3 linked regions of the Caenorhabditis elegans genome follow. The protein of the gene in region 1 purifies or fractionates together with the protein of each later gene. This does not show direct contact. Each region holds a gene or a part of one and is shown in the gene's direction. Other genes may lie near its edges.

Region 1 (7,560 bases):
ATTTTCTATTTTTCGTTGCATTATGTCGATAATAAACTAAAATTAAAGTTTTTTGGCCTAAAATTCGCTCTAAAAATTTAGATTTTCTCTGGAAAAAAAGATTTTCGATTTAAATCGATTAGAAACTGTTTTAAAAACTTAAAATTGTCTACAGTAACCTTAAAGGCGCATAGCTTAATTGCTCAACGAGATTCGCGGCGAGACCCATCCTCCTCCAAATGTGGCCTCCCTTTAACCATTTTCAGATTTTTTCTTGAATTTTCCGACAGTTTCTCAAAGTTTAAGCTTTTAAATCATTTTTTAGACGTAATTTATGCTATTTTCTATTTTTTGTTGCATTATGTCGATTATAAACTAAGATTAAAGCTTTTTGGGCTAAAAGTCGCTCTAAAAATTTAGATTTTCAATGGAAAAAAAAGATTTTCGATTCAAATCGACTAGAAAATGCATTTAAAAAGTTTGAAAATTGCCTACAGTAACCTTAAAGGCGCATAGCTTAATTGCTAAACGAGATTCGCGGCGAGACCCATCCACCTCCAAATGCGGCCTCCCTTTAACCATTATCAGGTTTTTTCTTCAGATTTTCGCAATTTTTGAGCTTTTTAATCACTTTTTAAGCTTAATCGTTGCAATTTCGTTCTTTCTAACCTTAAGAATAATTTTCTCAAAGTACACATAAGCAGTTGCCACCGTATACACATCAATTCCATTCGAGACCCCAAGTTCTGCCATTTCTCGCTTCAAACTCTTCATTTTGCTCAATGTCAGATGAATCATTGGGTATTTCGCCTCGAAATCCTCATTTATCACTTGTTTCGCCCTCTCCGCCGATTCACAATGAAGTGTGCTTGCCACGCAACACTCGTGACGGATTACAGTCCGTTTTCCGATTCCCAACTCGGAAAATGCGATCGGATCGTACTCATCGATGACTTCTGATGATGGTTCATCTGATCGGCTGGCGTCTAAATCGCATTTTTCATCGATTGAAGTTCCACGTTCATAGCTTGAATCTCGATTTACGGCTTGTGGAACTTCGATGGTTTCCGCAAACATTTCCTCCGAGGTTTCGCCGTTTCGGAAGCTTTCCTGTAAAAATTTTCGATTTTTTATCAACTTTTCACCTAAAATTCACATTTTAAGACTCAAAATCTGCTCAAGTGAACGAAAAATTCCGAAAAAAAGGTTTATTTTAGTGAAAATCTTCAATTTTGCCAGTTTTTAAGTTTCATAAATCCATTATTACAGACCTTAACGGTGGAGTAGCGCCAGTGGGGAAATAGCTTTAAAACACGCCTATGGTACCACAATGACCGAATATCATGATAAAAAATTCAGAAAAATGTTCTAAATTTTATATGATTTTTTGAAAATTGAAAAAATCTCAGTTTTCCCCTAATTCCTATTTGAATTACCGCCATTTGGATTTGTTCGATGGAGCGCGCTTGCACGTTTTTAAATTAATTTATTTTATTTTTTGTTATTTTCCACCGATTTTTAATGTTTTCGGTGTATTTTTGGTGGAATTTTAGAGAAAAAGTCAAAATAAATGCAAATTTTTGATTAAAAAGCAAACAGGCGTAAAAATCAAAAAGTAACGCTTTTAAACGATTTCGAACCTGAATTAATTGATTTCACTGATTTACGCCTGTAAGAGTGCTTTTTAATTGAAAATTTGCAATCATTTTGACTTTTTCTCTAATATTCGAGCAAAAATACACCGAAAACATTAAAAATCGGTGGAAAATAACAAAAAATAAAATAAATAAATTTAAAAACGTGCAAGCGCGCTCAATCGAACAAATCCAATTGGCGGAAATTCGAATAGGAATTAGGCAAAAACTGAGATTTTTTCAATTTTCAAAAAATCATGTAAAATTTAGAACATTTTTCAAAAATTTTTTATCATGATATTCGGCCATTGTGGCCCCATAGGCATGTTTTAAAGCAATTTCCTCACTGGCGCTACTCCATCTTTAAACAGTACGAAAATCAACGATATAAAGTGAAATAAACGAGCAAAATTTGCAAAAATACGAATTTTCGCCTGCTACGACACGAAAAACTCGGTAAAATTGAAGATTTTAGCTAAAATTCGCCTTTTTTCCGCGGATTTTGAATCTTAAAATTCAAAATTCAAAGCCTCACCCTCCGCTCTTTCCTGGAAATCGAGGCGGGCGACTTGTCGAACAGCGTGAAAAACGGCGAAGGATTCCGCTTTCGGCGAATCTGCCCCAGAATTACTTGATCTTCAGCGTCTCGGAAGACAAATGGCCGCAGCTCTTCTGTTGATAAGTGAGCCTGATGCCGCATGCGATCCGAGCTGGAAAATTGGATTATAAGGTGAAATTATGGGAATTTATCGTATTTTTTCAAGATTTTGACCTAAAGGCGCACGGATTTTTAGCAAATTGCAGCGTTTTTTCTTACTTTCTGCTGAAAATTTGCGTTGTTTTCCTTTTTTTCGGTCTGAAAACTGAAAAATTTAACAAAAAAAACTACCACATGCTGTCTTTTCGCGTCGATGCACAGCTGAATAAACCCATGTGCCTTTAAGATCGCATAGCCGAAATTTCTGAATTCCTGCGCTTTTTTTGTGAAATTTTGTTAGATAATTGCCAGTTTTCGGGGAAAATTAGGTAGAAGATATAAATTATAGAGGAGATGTTAATTCTAAACCTTCCAAAAATCGATTTCGATCGGAATTTCTTCTTATTGACGGTTGTGTTGGCGAAAATCGGCGCCAGCGGATCCACGTAGTCGCTGTTCGGCGAGATATACGAGAAAACTGCCAGAGGCTGGCCATTCGTCGAGGTGCAGATGTAAAATCTGAAAATGTGGGTTAGTTCGCAACACGGAACGGTTAGTGTGGGGGATTTTAGAGGATTTTATGATGGTTGAACTCACCTATCTGCATGGGTAATGGTGCTTTTGAGCCTTCTCAGAAAACTGAACTGATTTGAAGAACAAGATGGTGATTCTGAGCGAAATTCTGTGAAAATTTTGAATTAATTTATTTTATTTCAAGTTTTGTAAGCTTTTATAAGCTCGCCAGCTCACCAATCAGCCCACTATCTTCTCTCCCGACGCCTTCTTCAAGAATCGGAGATCTACTGTTTGTGGCGGTCATTGAATAGATCACGTCGTCGGAGCTCATGATTTTCGCGATTCTTCGGAAGATTGAAGTTCTATAAATAGAGAAAATTAATTAATTATATTGATTTTCAACTAATTTTCACTTTTTCTGTGGTGTCTCCGCGTATTCCTGCGGCAAATTCGACGAGCTTAGCCGTTCTCCGAGTGAAGCGGATGTTCCGAGTGAGATCACTGATTCATTGTTGCGGATGGTGGTTGTGGAGCTTGCGCCGTTTGAAAACTTCTTTTCCGTTGGAGATATCTGAAAAAATTATCAATTAGTTACGAAAATCGCTGAAAAACCAAGATTCTCACCTTCGGAAGGCCTTTTGTTTGGAAAATTCGAAGATTTGTGTCATTGTGGCTTCCATCAACACTGATATTTGATAAGAAATTTTGTGCGACGAGAATATGATAGTTACTCTTCTTTTTTACCATCTAAAATTGGAAAAACGAAAAGAAAAAGCTCGGAAATCCGATAAGAATTGTGTGAGTACGGTGTGCAAGCGTCTGCAACTTGTCGTCATTTATGGTGTACCAAGCGTGGTGTTTGCGTACTATTCGAATTTCGAAAAATAATTTCGTCGATTTTAGCCTTTTTCATCCAATTTTCCTGATAATTATCATGTTTATTCTTTGAAAAATTAGTTAAAAAATGTTATAATTAATGTATTATCTGAATTTTCGATAGGTGGAAGTTGAAAAATGAGCTTTATTTTCTATTTTAAGTAAAATCTGTTTCTTTGATGATTTTTCCATTCTTCATTTTCATTTCCCCCTGCAAATTCTCAATTTTTCAGAAAAATGAGTAAGACACATCCACCAGAGCTCAAAAAGTACATGGACAAGGAGATGGACTTGAAGCTCAACGGAAACCGTCGCGTCTCTGGAATCCTCCGCGGTTTCGATCCATTCATGAACATGGTCATCGACGTATGTTTCTTTTTCCGTTTTTGTCTAATTTATTCTAAAATTTAATATTGCAGGAAGCTGTCGAGTACCAAAAGGACGGAGGATCCGTCAACCTCGGCATGACTGTCATTCGCGGAAACTCCGTCGTCATCATGGAGCCCAAGGAGAGAATCTCCTAGATTTTTCGATCTCCACAATTTCCTGTCACTTTCTCAATGTTTTCATTTTCAAATTTTGATATTAAATTTTTGAACCTTTTTTTTGATAATTTTTGATAACTACGTGGTCAAAACCCACTTCTCATCTCTGATTCACGTGAATTTCGTATAGATAAGAACTTCGCAAATAGAATCAATTCACAAACAAATGTACCAAAAGTTATGTTTTATTATTGCAGGCATAAAAAAAATCAATCGTAAAGCTTTTTTTCAGCATTTTGTTTTTCCACGGCTCAAATTGAACGAAATAGTGTTCATTTTGAAGAGAGGCACGAAACAGAGTAACAAAAACACGGAGAGACTTGTGTATCCCTCTTCTCTTTCCACTATGTGCGGTCGACGACGCTCTCCACATTTTTCTCTCTTTATTCTTCTCGTTACTCTTACTCGGCACAACAGCAGCAAAAAAGAATACTCTTTCCCCACTTCTTATCTCTTTTTCTGCCGACCTATTTTCTTCTTTCAAAACAGAAAAATGTTCCACACACACGCCTATCATCATCCGAAAGCTGTACGAGATGTGCTTTCTCATCTTTCCGTACTCTTGTGGCTGCAGCCGTCGAAGAGTTGAAATATCAATTTTCAAAACGCGGCAGATTCTCAGCCGGAATTCAGTGAATTCGCTTGATTTCTCGCCAAAATATAGAAATCAGACGATTTATCTGAAAATAACACCCATTTCAGTTGAAACATGCGAGAAAATGCTGAAAAATAGCCTGAATTTGCTAATTTCAGGCCATTTTTGAGCTCTTCCTCAAGTGTTTCGACTGAAATAAATGTTTGTTTTAGATAAATCAAGTGATTTTCTATAATTTCACATCAATTTTAAATGAATCAACATGTCACAATAGGTCATTTTGAAAAATTGGCGCCAATCCCCAAACCTGATCTGGATTTGAACAAGAGTTTTCTACTTCGATTTCACATTTTGCTGAGAAAAACCGAAAATTATCGATGTTCTCTTTTGAAAATTGAACGCTTTTCAGTGATAATTAGGAAAAATCACCTTTTTTCAAGTCGAATAATTTCAAAAGCTTCAGAAAATCCAATGTTTTGACTCGAATTCAGGAAAAACCGGAAGAAAATCGCGAAATAATATAAAATCCGAATAAAAAAAACGCGATTTTTTTCAATTTTGGCTGAATTCTCCACACTCCAACTGATTGATCGTTCATTTTTTAAAGGAATTTAGCCAAAATTGCAAAATCCCGATTTTAAAAATAAAAAATTAATTCTGTTATGATTCCGCGTTTTTTATTTTGTAATAATTCCCATTTACGCCGTCTTTTAAAAATGCAGACCCACAATTTTTCTGGTGAACATTTCAAATCAATTCAAATTATTTTGATCTGATCTCCGGCGCGAATCACTTGTACTTTGTTCTCTCTCCTCCCGTCTCCTCCGTGGCACTATGTCATTCTGAAGTTGTTTCAATGACAAATCACTCACGCACACACACACACACAATGGATTGTGCCCTTTGTGTTGCCGTTTGACTATCATCGATTGATTCCATTCCCGTTCCGTTTTCGCCGTGCTCTCTCTCTCTGGGTTTTTCGTCTTCTCCCGGGAACACTTGGCCAGTTATCACTCGCTCTTTCTGTCCTCCTCTCAACAGCTATTGGCTACTACTACTACTGCTGCTGCTGCTGATCCGGCTCCGGTTGGCTATAGGCACATTTTGATGCGATTTGTGTGTGTGTGTTCTTTGGAGATTCAATTTGAAGAACTCTTCGCCTTTTTTGTATAAGTTTTCTTTTCGGGGGTGAAAAAATTCGCATCTTTATTCTCTTTAAGGTGGTGTAGTCTAATTTTTTTAAAAATAGCTTTATTAGACTCAAAATTGTCTGAAAACACCGAATTTCATAGTGTAACTTCTCAAAAAAAGTTTATGACGGCTCCAAAATGGCCTAAAATTAGTTAAAATTTGAAATTCGACCAACTTGTCAAGCGGCTGGAAACAAAATCACCGTCAAATTTTGAGTATACAATGTAATTATCTTGCGTTTTTAACTTCATTTAGGTATTTTAAAGTCCATGGACGGCGAGATTTCACAATTTTTTTAACCAAATCTCGCCGTCCATCGACTTTAAAGTACCTAAATCGAGTTGAAAACGCAAGATAATTGGATTGTATACTCAAAATTTTACGGTAATTTCAAAAAAAAGTTTCCAGCCGCTTGACAAGTCGGCCAAATTTAAAATTTTAACAAATTTTTAGACCATTTTTTCAGCCGTCAAAACTTTTTTTTTGAGAAGTTTTCAAGAAGTTTCATTATGAAATTCGGTGTTTTCAGACAATTTTGAGTCTAATAAAGCAATTAAAAAATTCGACTACACCACCACCTCAAAAATTTATAAATTAAATATATTGAGAATATTTTACCTGGGGTTTGGTCCCTAAGCTAGGCTTCTGAGCAAGATAAAAATTGAAAAAGGTGATAAATTCATCACTTTTTTCTCAATTTTTTGGCTCAGAGGACTAGCTTGGGGCCCAAACTGTTCACTTTCTCTCAGAATTCCGAATTTTTGACCCCGGAAACAGAATAAAAATGCACAGCCCTGACTGGTTCACATCATAACTCTTTTTATTTTATCGCTTTTTTGTCTCTTCTTCTTCTCCGCCGCCAAGTCATTCCTCTCAACATCCAATTTTCCAGCGCCCAATGCCTGTCCCACCACAAGTGCAAAAGGTCTTGGACGATGTCGACAAGCAGCTCCACGAGCCGAGCACCGTCACCAACGTGCTGGCGACCGTTGAGCAGAAGACCGGAGTCAAGCGGCTTCATTTGGTGCTCGGCGTCGTCGGTCTTCAGGCTCTCTACCTCATTTTCGGACATTCCGCCCAGCTTGTGTGCAACTTTATGGGATTCGTCTACCCGGCTTACATGAGGTTCGCGAATTTTGCAACAAAGAAAACTGCCGCACAGAAAAAGAGGCGGGGCGTAATTTTGCAACCCTGCGGCACGGATTTTCGCTCTTTTTTGTTGATTTTTTTAAATTCTCATAAGATTGTGAGGACGCTATCAAAATTTATTTATCGATCCTTGCATTTTGCAAAAAGTTTTGTCGCACAGAAAGTGGGGCGGAGCGTGCTTTCGCAACACCGCCGCACGGGGTTTGTCTCCGCCCATTTTCCACAGCTTTTCTTGTTGATTTTCTCAAAAAAGTTTTGATTTTACTTGTCTTTTTCTTTTCTTTTTCGAATTGGATCACATTTTCATTCGAAAAAAAGGGGCAAAAACAAGAAAAATCGAAACTTTTATTGAAAAAAAATATACAAGAAGAGCAGTGG
Region 2 (8,266 bases), on another chromosome or scaffold:
GTTTGATATGGGTTAATTGATATGAGAATGTTGGCCACGTAGGACTGTAAATTTGAATTTAGTTCAAAGTTTAAAGTTGGCTAAAAGGTGGAGTAGCGCCTGTCAGGAAATTGTTAAAAACCACTCCTATGTTGCCGAAATGCCAAAATATCACGTTAAAACTGAGAAAACATTTTACATTTTTTTATTTTTTTGAGAAAACTATAGCATGTTCGAATCACTGCAATGTTTGAATAAGAACACTTGAAACATAAATAGAGCATAAAATTCGATGGAAATTTATTTAAACTGTTATTTTTTTCAATTTTCAAAAAATCATATGAAAATTAGAATTTTTTTAAAACAATTTTTCTACTATGATATTTGGCCATTGTGGTGAGATAAAAATGTCTATTTAAAAAAACATACATAAATCTTTCCATTTTGATATCTCAATCTAATATTATTCAATAATGTTGCCTCATTCAAATGCATCAGTTGACAATTATCTTCCACGTGTCTTCTTGAGTCATCTTCGCAAGCCAAAACATCTTCAAAAACTCTTGTCACAGTATCACCAGTATTATCCAAAAGGCGAAGTGTGAATCCAGTTGCTGATAAATCAATTATACGGGCGGCACGGAACCCGTCTGTTGCATCTGTTATCCACACTGTTCTTCCATAGTCCGGAGGAGGCTGAGACACTGAAATCATGGAGCGACATTATGGATGGAGGTCTACTGTATTCAGTGTATTCAATGTATTCAATTGATATCTTGCCACGTTTTACTATCAATTGACTAATTATGGAATATTATCCAACAAATATCTACATCATTTTCAATATGCTACTCTTCATTAGCTCAAATATAATGTTGCAAAATATTATTTCAAACTGTAGTTATTATCTCGTTAGAAAAACTGCCACCTACAGTATTCTCAAAAAACAACATTCAGTTAAAAAAAATTAGGTACGATGCAGTTTTTGCATTGATAACTTGATAAAGTTTTTACTCAATTGTGAGGTTTCATTAAAGGTATATTACCGAAATTTTTAAATTTTTAAATGATTCCAAATTTTCCTCTGATTCCAAATTTCTGAAGTAAGTGAAAAAATTCAAAGACCTTTCCCTGATTTCATATTTCAGCTTGAAATCGCGACTTTAATTTGTGCAAGAGTTTTTTCAAACATCGAATTATCGCGAATAATATTTTGTAAGCCTCAAAATGACAAGAGAAGTTGAATAAAAAGTTACGATGTGACCAAGACAAACATTGTGAAAATGAATAAAAAAGTTGAAAACATTGTTTTAAAAACAAACCATTTATTCCAACTTTTTCAGCTCTTCTCTCAGTTTTCTTAGGATCCACAATGTCACGTGGAATTGTTTTCGGCTCAAATGTCCCAATGCCACGTGACTTTTGGGAAGAAGACTGAGCCGATGTTTTCAAAATTTCCGGAGGCGGTTTAGGAGGTTCCGAATTTTCTGTGATTTGATGTTTTTTGTTCAACGTTCGTAGCATTTGTTTTTCTGGAAAAAGTAATTTTTTGTAAGTAAAAAGTTGTCGAAAAAAATTGCAATAAGGACATGATGATGTGAGAATAGGGTGGAAAATTGTGTTCGATGTGTTGACTAACATGTCAAATTTCATGAGAAAATAGTGTGTGATTGGCGAAATCAGACACAAGAGTACACATCAACAGAGGCACCTGCGAGCACCTTCGGTTTCACTGATAAGGAAATTGATAAGACTCACTTTTTGAAAAAAAAAATTGGAATTTAGTTTTTTTGTTGAAATTTTATGGCGAATTTAACATCTTAACCGGGGGTGTGCGGCAGGGGTGTGCGGCAAATCTCAAAATTTGCCGAGCTCGGCAAATTCGGCAAATTCGGCAAATTTGCCGTGCTTAACAAACTCGGATAAATTTGATATTTTTTATGTTTTTTGGAGCACCAAAACTACTGAATTCTTAACACACATCTGGTTTCTGAATAAGTTCCGCGTAGTATGTCTGTTTAAGCATCAAAATAGCTTAATTTTGTGTCATTTTACTAAATTTTTGGCTAAAAAATCAATAGTTTTAGTCAAAATTGTACTGTCAAATTTTTGACGTGTGCGGCAAATTTCGAAATTTGCCGAGCTCGGCAAATTCGGCAAATCTACTTTTTTGAAATTTGCCGTGCTCGGCAAATTCGGCAAATTTGCCGAGCTCGGCAAACGGCAAATTCGGCAAATTCGGCAAATTTGCCGCACACCCCTGGTGTGCGGCAATCTCAAAATTTGCCGTGCTTAACAAAATCCAAAAAATGTGATATTTTTTGCTGTTTTTTGGAGCGCCACAACTACTGAACTCTGAACAAACATTTGGTATCTGAATACCGTATTTCTTCTATTAGTATGACTGCAATGCCATTTTTCGATGGTCTTCCCGCTTGCAATACTAATAGGGAGTGCAATACTAATTTTCAGAACATTTTTTTTGACTTTGAGCTTACTAGTTTTTTCTGAATAAACTCGAATCTTATGTAAAAATTCAGAAAATATGATTTTAATTGTAACATATAAGCTTAAAAATTTCAATCTCAAAAAAATTTCAATTTCAAAAATTTCAATGTTGTGAGAAACTGTTGCAAAATAGGCAAAAAATGTTGTTGAAATCCTCAAATTGGCGAGACGGGTTTGCAATAAAAAAGTAAACGCAAGACTATTAGGGAGTGTAATACTAATTTTCGGAGGGTCTCCGAGGGGTAATACTAATAGGGAGTGCAAGTCTAATAGGGAGACCATACTAATAGAGGAAATACGGTAAGTTCTGTGTCGTGTATCTGTTTAAACATCGAAATAACTTAATTTTGTGTCCTTTTACTACAGTTTTGGGGACGAAATCAATAGTTTCGGTCAAAACTGCAATGTTAAATTTTTGATATGTGCGGCAAATTTCGAAATTTGCTGCTCGGCAAATTCGGCAAATCTTCTTTTTTGAAATTTTCCGTGTTCGGCAAACGGCAAATTCGGCAAATTTGTCGCCCACCGCTGACCTCTCCAGAAGTGTGCGGCAATCTCAAAATTTGCCGAGCTTGGCGAATTCGGCAAGTTCGGCAAATTTGCCGTGCTTAAAAGTGGTGTAGTCTAACTTTTTAAAAATTACTTTATGAGACTAAAAATTGTCTGAAAACGCTGAATTTCATACTGACCCTTCTGTAAAACTTCTCAAAAAAAGTTATGGTCAAAAAAAAGTTAAAAAGTTATAATTTACAAAATCTCTTCGTCCATCGACTTTAAAATACTCAAGTCGAGTTGAAAACGCAAGATTTGAATTAACTGGTATAGCCAGTTGGCCAAATTTACAGTGCACGACAAATTCGGCAAGTTCGGTAAATTTGCCGAGCTTAACAAACTCCTAAAATGTTATATTTTTCAAAGTCTTTAGAGCACCAAAACTACTGAATTCTTAACACACATCTGGTTTCCAAACAAGTTCCGTGTAGTGTGTCTTCTTCAACATCAAAACAGCTCAATTTTGTGCCATTTTACAAAATTTTTGAGGACAAAATCAATAGTTTCGGCTAAAATTGTATTGTCAATTTTTGATGTTTGCGGTAAATTTGGTAAATTTGCCCCACACCCCTGATCCCCACACACTTATTTAACATTTGTGAATAATAGGCGGATCATAGTTGGCCACTTTTTTCAATTTTCCAAAAAAATCGAAAACTTTATTAAAGGTCAAAATTCCCCGATAATTTAGTTACTGTAGCTTCAAAATCCACAAACACCGTGTGCAATAAATACACGTAAATTCACGGAAACTTGCGGGCTTTTAATCAAATGGTAAGCGGAAACTCAACTTTCAATACGGCGTCCTGCGCGTGAAATGCGCTAAATTGGAAGAGGAGACCCAAAAAAACAAAACCTATTCCAACTTTTTATACTGTAGTTTGTCTTCAGTAAGCAGCATCTTGAAAACTATGGAAGATATGAAAAACTTTTCAACTAGAAAACTAAAGTTGATAATGTAGCCAACATTTCTCAGTTAAGAACTTTTTCGTAAGTGAAGCCATTGAGTAGTTACAACAGTGGTAATGTATGCGCAATGGGATTTTATCAAAAACGTAGTACTTGTGTTTTTAAGTGCGTATATCTTTTTAAATAATAAAAGAATTAAAAAAAGTAAAATCAAGAATTGTAGTGTTTTGTATGCTGAGCATTTCTTCGGCTAAAAGTTTTTTGATATCTATGCTCACGAGAGAGCTATGCTCTTTTGGAAAACGTACAAGTTAAATTCCTTGATATAACCTCGCTAGCTGTTATAGATCATAACTCAGTAACCAGTGACGGAATCAAAAAACGCTAAACTAATGAAATGTTCAAAATTGTTCAAATATTATTTTCATAATTGACTGCTTCCTGTTTTATTTCTTATTCGCAAAGTTACGCACGTTTAAATAATATTTATCGTGATTTCTGGTATATTGAACTACAAAAATTAAAATTGTTATTGAAAATCTTATTGAACAATCCATTTTTCATTCAATTTTAATATTTTTTTCAAACGTAAATTAGCAAGAATTTGAAGCTTTGTTCAAAATCTTCCGTTTTTCGCCGCTTTTCACGTTTTGAGCGAAAGAGCGTGCGCAAGTGAGAGGTGAAAGATGACGAGAGCGACTTGCTTGCGCGTTTCACCCGCAGGAGGCCGTGTATAAACTTTATATATACTATAAAGTTTGTTTACCGTTTCGAATCAGTTCCTTTATCTTTTTCAATAATTTCTCGCATTTTTCTCATTTCTTATTTTAATTTTATTTGCATTTGCCGCGTAAGTGACACGAAAAGTGAGCGCCGCAAACGCGCTCCGCTGAGAATTTGTTTGTGCACTCCTCTCGAATAAGTCAAAAATACACGTCTTTATTAAAACTTATTGATTTTTCAGTGTATTCCTGTGATTTTTCTTGAATTTCTAAATGTTTTTGCAGATGAACACTCAAATTTCCATGCGAAACTTGCTAACAAGCTGCTCAAAAGCCATCACAGCAGGTTAGTAAAGGAAAAAGGTCGAAAAATATCATTTGAAGGTTATTTTCAAAAAAAAAACGTGGCAGAACATTTTTCGTACAACATTTTTCATGTGAAAATTGCAATTACTATTATTTCCATTCATTTCTCCTCAAAATCAGACTTTTTATAAACCATTTCCCCCTTCCTCTCCCTAAATCAAAATCACTATTCCCGCGTGAATTTCACATTTTCAGAGAGAAATAATGCGTGGAGAGCAAGTTTGGGAAAAATCAGCCGTCGAGACTACTTGCATCGGTACCAAGTTAAATTTATCCGTCCGGATGGTTCGACAATCATGGTTCCCGCCGCTGAACCGAGACAGGTTGCTTTTTGAAAAATACATATTTAATTGCAGTTTTTATATTTAATCAGTTTTTTAATTGTACATATTTTCAGACATTCCAATCTGCCGTCGACCTCAAACAGTTGAGCGAGGATGAACGACGACAACGGCTGGCTGCTCGTAAACCAAAAGCCAAGATCACAAAAACAGTAATTATATAATTAACGATTTCAAATTAAAAATGGTTTTTTCAGGAAGTTATCGATGACACCTTCGATGAGTCGGAGTATATGAAGTTTTGGTCGGCACCCGGGCAGAAATCCACGAAAAAATAAGAAAAATCTCGTTATTAGCATGTAGTATTTCTTTTTTTTTGTTAGATTTTTTGTTTTCGTTATATTTACTATGAATATCGACTTTATTCTCGATCTGATTAATATTGATTTGTGCGTTTAGTCGCAATTTTATATCAATTATCTCTATTTCACTAGGGAACCCCGTAACAGCTTGGTGGATAGGAAACCAAGAAGTTTGTGGAGGAAAATCGAGTTTCCGGTCGAAATTAGCTTGAAAATACTAATATGCTAAAAACCTCTAAAAACCTCATTTTTCAGCGATAAACGCCGAATTTTCAGCCATTTTCCGAGAAAAACGCGAATTTTCGGGTAAAAAACCCGATCTCAGAACGAATTTGACTTCAAAAATGGAAAAATGCGATAAGAAGCGTGAAGTTTCACTGAAAACTCTTAATTTCAACGTTTTTTACTCAAAAAATCGTATTTCTGGCTCAAAAACAGTGAAATTTATCATTTTTTTTCTGTGAAAAAATCGATTGGGGGGACCAATAAAAGGTACATTTTTGTGACCCACTGACCGAAAATGTACTTTAATCAAAGAATAAGCGCGTAGTAAAGGACCATAATATTTATTAAAGATTGATAATTGAATAAAAATTTAGTTCCAGACGGTGTCACACCGAGAAGGTGGAAAAATGTGATTTTAGCTGAAAATGAGCTTTTTCTAAAACTTTGACCCATAACTTTTTTTTGAGAAAATTTCAAAACTTCTCATTACGAAATTCGGTAGTTTTGAATCATTTGGTTCTAAAAAGCAAAGTCTTAGATTTCGGTACTCCAACTTTAATTTTCAGTGACACTAGTGTTTTTAAGACTTTGAGACCGATTAATTTTGTTTTGATTTCGAGTAGCCAGTATTTAACACAAGCTTCCGATTGGTATACTTTTTGTTTCTCTTATTCACCAAGTTTTTACAGGGATCCCTAGTCAGATTATTCAAAAGGAATTTTATGTTTCAGATTATTATGACATCCACTCCGAAATATTCGATAATTCTGCCAACCTACAACGAAAAAGAAAATTTGCCGATTTGCATTTGGTTAATTGAAAATTATCTGAAAGAAGTTTCACATGAAGTGATTATCGTTGACGATGCATCACCAGACGGTACTCAAGGCATTGCAAAACTTCTTCAAAAGGAGTACGGAGACGATAAGATTCTGATCAAGCCACGAGTTGGAAAACTTGGACTTGGTACAGCCTATTCACATGGATTATCGTTTGCACGTGGAGAATTTATCATTCTTATGGACGCAGATCTTTCTCATCATCCAAAATTCATTCCGGAAATGATTGCGCTTCAACATAAGTATAAGGTATACATTATTCGTACATTTTTTCTAAAAATTGTTAAAAAAACAGAACTTTTTTAAATTTCAAAATTTATAGGTGTACAAATGTTATTTTAGTTAAATAATAGTTAATTTGATGAAAGTTTTCCAATTTGAGAAAAATATGGCAAGAACTTATTATGCAACGTTAAGCATTTAAAATTTATATAGAAATGTAGAACACAGCATGTTCTATCTGAAAATAACATATATTTCTGTTAAAAAATTGAAAAAAGTCCTCAAATAGTACCTGAAAATTGTCGTTTGACGAAAAGGTGCCGTTAAAAGTTTTTTCGGCAAACTGTAACTTTCAGGCACAGTTGGATCAGGGGTGTGCTGATAATATCCGATTCACTATCAGCCGAATTTCTGCCAGTTTAGCTAATTTAAACTTTAAGTTATCCGGTAGCCGATGTTGGCCGATCTTAGCCCAATTTCCCGGTCTGCTAATTTCACTAACACATTTTTTTTTGGAAAAAATGTTGGGGTTTTATATGATTTTTTCTATTTGAACAGTCGTTCATCACTGAATTTGCTAAAAAATAGTGAACATCACCGCAACTTTTTTCGAACGAGGGCCGAGAAAAAATGCGAAAAATCGGTGTTTGCACACAAAACACCGCATTTTACGACATTTTGTACTTGCTTTGTTTTCTCTTGTTTTTCACCAATTTTTCCCGTGTTTTCTTATCAAAACTGATAAATAAATTTTTTTGCTAATGCTAAAATAATTTCCAGATGAAAAAATATGTATTCAGTCGGCAAGTAGCGGTGAAAGTCGTCAATGTAATATGATGGATTACGGGAATACAAAACCCAAACTTTTTCCCAAACATGATACATATGCTGCTCTGATGCTGAAACTACCTGATTTTCATAACGAGACCGCTGAAAAAGTTTTGAGGTTTTCAAAATTCAACTTTTTGTGCGAAAATCTCTACTTTTTCACCAAAAAAGTTGAATTTTGAAAGCCTCAAAACTTTTTCAGTGGTCTCGTTATGAAAATCAGGTAGTTTCAGCATCAGAGCAGCATATGTATCATGTGTGGGAAAAAGTTTGGGTTTTGTGTTCCCGTAATCCATCATATTACATTGACCACTTTCACCGTTACTTACAGACTCAATACACAATTTTTTCACTTGGAAATTGTTTTAGCATCTGCAAAAAATATTTATTTATTAGTATTAATAAGAAAAAATGGGGAAAATTGGTGAAAAACGAAAGAAAACACGCGGAAAACAAAGCAACATAAATGGCCG
Region 3 (7,759 bases), on another chromosome or scaffold:
AAAACTTTTATATTTCAACATCATATAACTTGTGCTCTTCTTATCGTTTCTCCTTATCGCTGAAAATTTTTGCCGTAAAGCTTAATGTTAGCATTGTCAGCGTCCAAATCGAAAAGTGAGTCACTATTGAACAAGTGATTCCGGAGTAAATACTTATCACCAAAAAACTGGAAATTTTAAACTGAGCCCAAACATGGAGCAATATGGAGCAAATGGAGAAAAAAATTTTCTCTAAACAAAATTTTTTTTCGAATTTTTCGAATTTTCAAAAATGTCTTAAACCACAAAAAATCAATTCGCTCGCTTCTAATAGAGGTAGATCAAAACTTTTGATTGGTTGATCTTTTCCCGGGTTACTGTAGCGCATGACCGGAAGCCTCTCGAAAAGCAACACAAAAACGCCGCCACGAAAAGGAGAGAAACAAACAGAAAATGGGCAGCAGCAAACTCTACCAGGTCCTCGTTTTTTGAGTGCAGGAATTTAAATATCCAGCAAATCGGCAAATTGCAGGAATTCAAATTTCCGGCTAATCGGTAAATTGCCGGAATTAAACATTTCTGGCAAATCGGCAAATTGCCGGAATTGAAATTTCCGGCAAATCGGCAAATTGCCAGAATTGAACCATTCCGGCAAATCGGCAAATTGCCGGAATTGAAATTTCCGGCAAATCGGCAAATTGCAAGAATTGAAAATTTCCGGCAAATCGGCAAATTGCCAGAATTGGACCATTCCGGCAAATCGGCAAATTGAAGGGACTGTAATTTCCGGGAAATCACTAAATTGCCGGAATTGAACATTTCCGGCAAATCGGCAAATTTCCGGAATAGAAAGTTTTCATCAAATCGACAAATCGGCAAATTGCCGAATTTTAAATTTTTGGCAAATCGGCAAATTGCAGGAATTGAAATTTCCGGCTAATCGGTAAATTGCCGGAATTTAACATTTCTGGCAAATTGGCAAACTGCCGGAATTGAACATTTCCGGCAAATCGGTAAATCGGCAAATTGCAGGAATTGAAAATTTCCGGCAAATCGGCAATTTTTCGAAAATCAAAATTTCCTGCAAATTGGCAATTTTTCGAAAATCAAAATTTCCTGCAAATCGATAAATTGCCGGAATTGAAATTTCTGGCAAATCGGCAAACCGGCAATTTTTTGCTAAATCCGGGGTACTGTACTTTTTTAGGAAATGGGTTACGGTATTTGATCCTAAAAGCATTGGTGGGATCGGCGTTACTGTAATACATATATAGGAGATGGAATATAGTAGCTGTAGAAGAACTTTTGATAGATTCGGGGACTACAGTAATCCTACAGTACCCTCCACTGAGCACCAAGCCAATACCTTTTCAAAAAACGAAAATTCATGTTTTTCAAAACTACAGTAATCCTACAGTACACGTGCATCGACAAGTCCAAAACCAAATCCAAATTAAATACTATACAGAATTCTTCAAAACAAAACATACAAAGTGAGGTCTAATTTCGATTTCGCCCCCCGTGAGGGCATATCATCTGCAAAACTATATCCAGTTTTACACTTTCTCTCTGAAAAGTAGAAGGTCTTTTTATTACAAAACAGCAGAAAAGTAGCTGTGGTCTATTCTCCTTGAAGGCATCCTTTGGTGACTTCTGACTTTACAACTCGCTAGGTTTCAGAGATATCGAAAAAAGTTAACCTACAAAGTTAAAGAACACATTATTACGTGTGTATTGTTAATTGGTAAATTTTTGGTAATGTCAAAGACAACCGAGATATACTGTCTTAAAGTTGGGACACAATTCTGCAAGTTTTTCAAAACTTTGGCAAGTTTCTAGAAATTTCTAGAACTTTCCAGAATTAATTTCTGAAGTTTTTGAAGCTTTTCAAATTTTTTCAGACTTTTCCAGAATTTTCTAGAATTCTTTAAAAATTTTCAAAATTTTCCCTATTTTTCTCGATTTTTTTAAAAAAGTTTCCACAAAGTTTCCAAAATGTTGGAATTCTAGAAAAAGGAAAACACTATATTTTCCCAGAATTACAGTACCACTACAGCGCTCCTACAGTATCTATACATCACCACTACAGTATTACTACAGTACCCCTATAGTACCCCTTCAACACTACCACAGTAACCCTACAATATTACTACAGTGTTATTACAATACGACTTTAGTACCTCTACAGTACTACTACAATACCCGGACCGTATCCCTCTACAAACCACAAACCAATACCCTTTCAAAAGACGAAAAGTCAATTTTTCTATAACTACAGTAATCCTACAGTACTCCTGTAGTACCTCTACAATACAGTACCCCTACGGTACCATTACAGTACCCCTATAGTTTCTCTACAATACTGCTACAGTACTCTGACCGTATCCCCCTACCAACCCTAAACCGATATCCCTTCAAAAAACAAAGACTCGTTTTTTCCAAAACTACAGTAATCCTACAGTACTCCTACAGTACCACTACGTACTCCCATAGTAATCCTACAATGCCCTACGGTACCGAACTGTACCACTACTGTACCCTAGCACTAACTTCCACTTACCCGAACCCAATTTCCCTTCAAAAATGAAAAACAGGATCTACAAAAATACAGTAATCCTACAGTACTTCTACGGTACCATTACAGTACTCCAATAGTACCTCTACAGTACTACTACAGTACCTTGACCGTATCCCTCTACCAACCCCAAACCAATGTCCCTTAAAAAAACAAAAACTCATTTTTTCCAATACTACAGTAATCCTACAGTACTCCTATAGTAATTTTTTCACCAAAAAAACTATAAATTTTGAAGGAAACCAGTACGAGAAATGGTCACCAAACTGGTTAGTCAAAGTATTTTAAGGCTGAGGAATGGGTTATATCAATCGTGTGCGTGTGTGTGTGTGTGTGTCAACTTAATCGAGAGTAGTAGCTGATTCTATATTTAGTTACTATGTGTACTTGGCCGGTACTATTTTTAGAGTACTAAGGGGGGAGTCGCGGTTTTTTTGCTTTTGTTCAAATGGTTTGTTTGTGTTTTGCGTCTGAATTGCCTACCGTTTAGACTAGCAGGTAGGCTCAGAAAATGACTGCCTGCCTACGCGCCTGCCTACGCGCCTGCCTGCCCACGCGCCTGCCTACCAAACTAGTTCAACTCCTCAAATTTTTATGGTAAAAAACGCAACGATTCTAGCAAAAACACACCAAAACTCGGGGAACCAATCAGCGACGCCTACTGCCTACCTCTGATCGCGCGGGAATTCAAATTTTTGAATGTAGCCTTTGAACTTTTTTCGCCCAAAATACCGACTTTCAACTTCCGGGTAAGCTCTCTATAAATGAAACTGTCTAAACCTACAATTTTATTGACAAGTGCGCACTATTTTTAGGGCTCGGCGAGCCACCACCTGGTCAGACTAAATATTTTTCATTTGGTTTGTTGATTTTTGTCGGGGTTCTCCTCGTTTTTTGTCCCCCATTCAAATGATACTTTAAAGAAACATTTGAAGACGCTTTTTTATGAGGGGACAGCTGCAACTGCAGTTGTGCGGCCGAGCGCGATTGCTACCTCATGTTGAAAAAAACTGCAAACTTCTAAAAAACTCTTTTTTCTTTTTTTAAACTAGTCTTATAATGGCCATATTTTCTCTGTGAATGTTAAATTTTTTGGCCAAATTTGCAAGCGCGCTCTATTGTACTTTAGAAATTCTGAGCTTGAAATACAATTAATATATAATTAACCAGCCGTGGACCGCACCTCCGGCGCGGCCCCCGACTTCTGGGGCTGAAAATTAATTTTTTATGAAACTACCGTAACCCTACAGTATTCCTACCGTACCACTATTGTACCACTACAGTAGCTCGACTATATCCCTACACTAACCCTAACTCACTATCCCTCCAGAAGCCAAAACTTCACAAACAAATAGATAAAGTATATATTGCACGAAAACGTATACAAACATTGAAAATCGGGGGAAAAATTTGTGAAGGAGACAGAGAACGCTCCGACTATTGCTTCTTGCTTCTCAGATTTAATGACATTGCTTTTTTGATTTCGCGGAAATAGCAAATAGTCCATTTTGTGCGGAGTTTGGTGCAATCATCGGGAATTCACATTTGAATCACCGCGCAAAACGAGAATTGCGTCAAGGGCACCGAGAATGCGCTAGCAGTCATCCTTGCGCTATCTTTGATTTTCGAAGTTTGAATTATTTTAATTTTAAAACTATTTTTTAATTTTTCTTTGGATTTCATATTCAATTTTCTAAATTTTCAGCAAAAATGAATGCGCCAGCTGCTTTCGAATCATTTTTGCTTCTCGACGACAAGAAATTCTACATTGAAAAAGACACAAAGGTGAGAAAAATGATACTCAAAACGAAATGATAAAATTAATTTTCCTAGGTTCCAAATGCGGCGATCTTCACAATCATGAAGGAGGATCACACGCTGGGAAATATGCTGAAAATGTTAGAAAACCCGCATAATTTCGAAGATTTTCGATTTAATTCCTCAAATTTCCAGCCAACTTCTCAAGGACCCAGAGGTGCTGTTCGCCGGCTACAAGAACCCTCACCCGTTGGAGCACAAGATCTTGCTCCGAATCCAGACAACCAACAATACGACGCCAGCTGATGCTCTCACAACGGCCATAACCGATTTGGTGGGAGAACTCTCGTTGCTCGAGCATCGAATCGACGCGGCCATCAAAAAGTGCACTCAATCCGGCGACCAGGAGCGTGGATATAACTGATTTTTCACTTTTTCCTTACTGATCTCTTACTCTGAACTTTTATAAATTTTAAATTACGCTTTTTTCGCTTTTTTCTGCGTTTTTTTTCTCGAATTTTCTGGGTTTTTGCCCATTTTTTATTTTTTGAAACACTAAAATTCCCCCAAAAGCGCCCCCATTTCCCTCAATTTCCCTCAGATGACCGCGCCACTAATCCGTGTGAGCCGGAAGCGAACCGCAGATCCCCACGATGCTCTGATTCTGCACACCAAACGTGCAAAACACGGCGGCAATCCGCTGGTTTTCACGCTTTACAAGGCCGCCGGCAACGATCTGGAGCTCAATGGAGCCCGTGTGCTGGATCTTCCAACTCAGGAACATGGGATGGAGTTGGCTGACGAGGAAAATCCACTAGGATTTGTGAAGGATGAAGCCGTCGGGCTCGTTGGAGAGGTCGAGAAGAACGTTAAAAAGCCGGCGGAGCAAGTTTCGGTGAGCGCTGAGCTCACGGAGCCCGTGGAGCGCGCAAAAATTGTATTTCCAGCTCAACGGCCGCCTACTACAGCCCGTCACCGACGGCGGCGGCGCCGCCGCCGGCAGCAGTGACGACGTCGTATACGACTACTACGCGATACACGAGAAACGGGGCAACCCAGAAGTAGTGGGAAACCTGGAGCAGGACATCGAGGGAGCCGATTTTCGGTTCGCCAAGCGTGATGAGCTGGATTTGGGCGACGAAGATGACTCCGATGGGCCGCCGGCTGATGATGAAGACGATTCGAATGATGAGGATAACTGGCGGAATGACTATCCCGATGAGGAATCCTATGATGAGGTTGGAGCTGCTGAATTCTGTGAATTTTCCATTGAAAATCTTCAAATCCCCAGATGAAAATGTTGATTTTCAGGACAGCGACAATGGGGATCCGTACGGAATATCGGAGCCCGACCATTGGCACGCCGGCGAGGAGGCATACTCCGACGAAAGCTTCCACAGACGGCTTCAAAAGTGTGTAAAATTGGATTATTGCGCTGAAATTACGGCTTAAAACCTGGAAATTGAGGCAATTTTCACAAAAATGCTTAAATTTTAGCTAAAAGTATTGAATTTAGCTATTTTTCCTCGTAAATTTCTGAAAAATCGGCTAAAAATTCTATTTTCCTTTTTTTTTTTTGCGAAAAACTCGAAAATTCCGGTTAAAATTGCTCATTTCTCTGGAAAAAAAAGCGGCTTTGATGTATTTTTCCATAATTTGTAGTTGAAACCTGAAAATTTAGCTGAAATTATCTATTTTTCACTGTAAATTTCTGGAAAATCGTCTCTAAAAATCCTATTTCTCCACTAAAATCGCTCATTTCTCTGGAAAAAATGCGGCTTTGATGTAGTTTTTCCATTAAAGTTCTCAAATTTCAGCTAAATGTAGTGAATTTGTGGTTGAAACCTGAAAATTTTTAGTTGAAATTAGCTATTTCTCCCTGTCAATTTCTTAAAAATCGGCTAAAAATTCAATTTTCCCACTAAAATAGCTCATTTCTCTGGAAATAATGCGGTTTTGATCTAGTTTTTCCATTAAATTGCGCAAATTTCAACTGATTTTGCCAATTTTGATGCTAAAAATTGAAAATTTACATGTGAAAGTTTGAAAATTCGGCCACAAAACCCCGGTTTTCCTCCAATTTTTTGAAAATTCCGACTAAAATCGCTTATTTTTACTAACTTTCAAGTAATTTTCATCAATTTAATTATTAAAAACTTGAAAATTAGCTATTTCAACCTGAAAAATTCTGAAAAGTACAACTTTTTGGTGATAAAATGTGGCGGTTTTCAATTTTTAGATGGAAATTCTGAAAATTCTATCATTTTTCAGCATGGACCTGAACGACGAACGCTACGAAGCATTTTATGAGGGTGACGAGACTGACGAAGACGCCGATTAATACTGTTTTTCGCCTTTTTTTTGTTTTTTCAGTGTTCAAGCTTACTTATCAGTAACTCACACACACACATATTTTCAATTTTTCATTCATTTTCATTCATTCATTCACAACTCTGAAATTCGTATCATGAAGACCTTATTTGTGCTATTTCTCGCCTTTTTTCTGCTTGTTGAAGCTTCTTCGGAAAGCGGAAAACGCGACGTTTTTCACAATATTGAGAACTTTTTCAAGTTCCTTTGCGTCGTTTTTCAAGTTTCTCAGGCGTCGGTACAACGTGAGAAATCGAGAAATACCTCGGAAAGCACAAAGAAATTTCAGAAAACGACCGAAATCACGAGAAATCGAATCTTCCAGGCTGATTCATAGCATTGCAAAGCTGAATTACTTGGCTTTCAGCTCATCGGGCAACTGCACTGAGCTTAAATAATTTTTTTTGTTGTAATTTTTAAAAATTTTTCATTCAATAAAAGGTTTTTACTCAATTTTACTGAGCAAAATTTATCGATTTTTTTAAAAATTTGATGAATTTACCCTGAATATTCAAGGAAAAACCTGAAAAATCGAGACTCGCAGAGGATTTCCTCCGCGGAAATTCCGAATATCAGAATTTATTTTCGAGAGACACCACGAACTTGCGACACCACGAAGTTTTTGAAGAAACAGAATCCGCAGGCAAAGTTTTTTGTTTTAGCACATTTTAGGTTTATTTTGGTTTTATTAAAAATTAAAATAACAATTTCTTTTTTAAAAGTTTAGTTTTTTAGAAGTAAATCTTAATTTCCGGTGAGATATTCTGTAGTTTTTGCGTCCATGGTGGTGTTCATCCCGCACCGCCTCCTCGCAAGCGCGCTCCACTGACATTTCCCGCCGCATTTGGTTCAAATTTCACAACCTTCGAAAATTGACGATTTCCTTCGTTTTTCTTCATTTTTTCGCGTTCTTATAAGATTTTTTAATTATTTTTTACTTTCAGAGAATGGTCGACGTTGAGAAAATGTCGGATGCAGAGCTCCGCGCCGAGTTGAACGTTCGCGGGGCGAATGTTGGCCCGGTAACTGGAACGACTCGTTCGCTGTACGAGAAGAAGCTGAAGAAGTTGCTTTCCG

The links.
Region 2: the proteins of snr-7 (region 1) and mrpl-55 fractionate together in Caenorhabditis elegans (co-fractionation; one large-scale study listed by BioGRID). This does not show direct contact.
Region 3: the proteins of snr-7 (region 1) and rpb-11 fractionate together in Caenorhabditis elegans (co-fractionation; one large-scale study listed by BioGRID). This does not show direct contact.

Annotation. Positions count from the first base shown.
Region 1 is NC_003279.8:2,723,079-2,730,638, forward strand, and holds snr-7 (putative small nuclear ribonucleoprotein G), read left to right. Parts: upstream 1-3,935; 5' UTR 3,936-3,939; coding exon 3,940-4,068; intron 4,069-4,121; coding exon 4,122-4,226; 3' UTR 4,227-4,304; downstream 4,305-7,560. Other genes in the region: Y71F9B.6 (Cyclin N-terminal domain-containing protein), read right to left, coding at 649-1,089, 2,149-2,323, 2,680-2,829, 2,908-2,992, 3,061-3,188, 3,240-3,397, 3,451-3,573; yop-1 (Receptor expression-enhancing protein), read left to right, coding at 6,932-7,158. UniProt on the Caenorhabditis elegans protein: Plays a role in pre-mRNA splicing as a core component of the spliceosomal U1, U2, U4 and U5 small nuclear ribonucleoproteins (snRNPs), the building blocks of the spliceosome.
Region 2 is NC_003282.8:439,042-447,307, forward strand, and holds mrpl-55 (39S ribosomal protein L55, mitochondrial), read left to right. Parts: upstream 1-4,943; coding exon 4,944-5,016; intron 5,017-5,231; coding exon 5,232-5,359; intron 5,360-5,433; coding exon 5,434-5,529; intron 5,530-5,574; coding exon 5,575-5,655; 3' UTR 5,656-5,745; downstream 5,746-8,266. Other genes in the region: hum-8 (Myosin motor domain-containing protein), read right to left, coding at 1-44, 409-683, 1,302-1,503; dpm-1 (Dolichol-phosphate mannosyltransferase subunit 1), read left to right, coding at 6,642-6,992.
Region 3 is NC_003280.10:14,055,826-14,063,584, forward strand, and holds rpb-11 (putative DNA-directed RNA polymerase II subunit RPB11), read left to right. Parts: upstream 1-4,259; 5' UTR 4,260-4,264; coding exon 4,265-4,339; intron 4,340-4,387; coding exon 4,388-4,452; intron 4,453-4,507; coding exon 4,508-4,736; 3' UTR 4,737-4,799; downstream 4,800-7,759. Other genes in the region: W01G7.4 (putative RNA polymerase II nuclear localization protein SLC7A6OS), read left to right, coding at 4,914-5,207, 5,260-5,550, 5,624-5,724, 6,584-6,653; lem-2 (LEM protein 2), read left to right, coding at 7,630-7,759. UniProt on the Caenorhabditis elegans protein: DNA-dependent RNA polymerase catalyzes the transcription of DNA into RNA using the four ribonucleoside triphosphates as substrates. Component of RNA polymerase II which synthesizes mRNA precursors and many functional non-coding RNAs.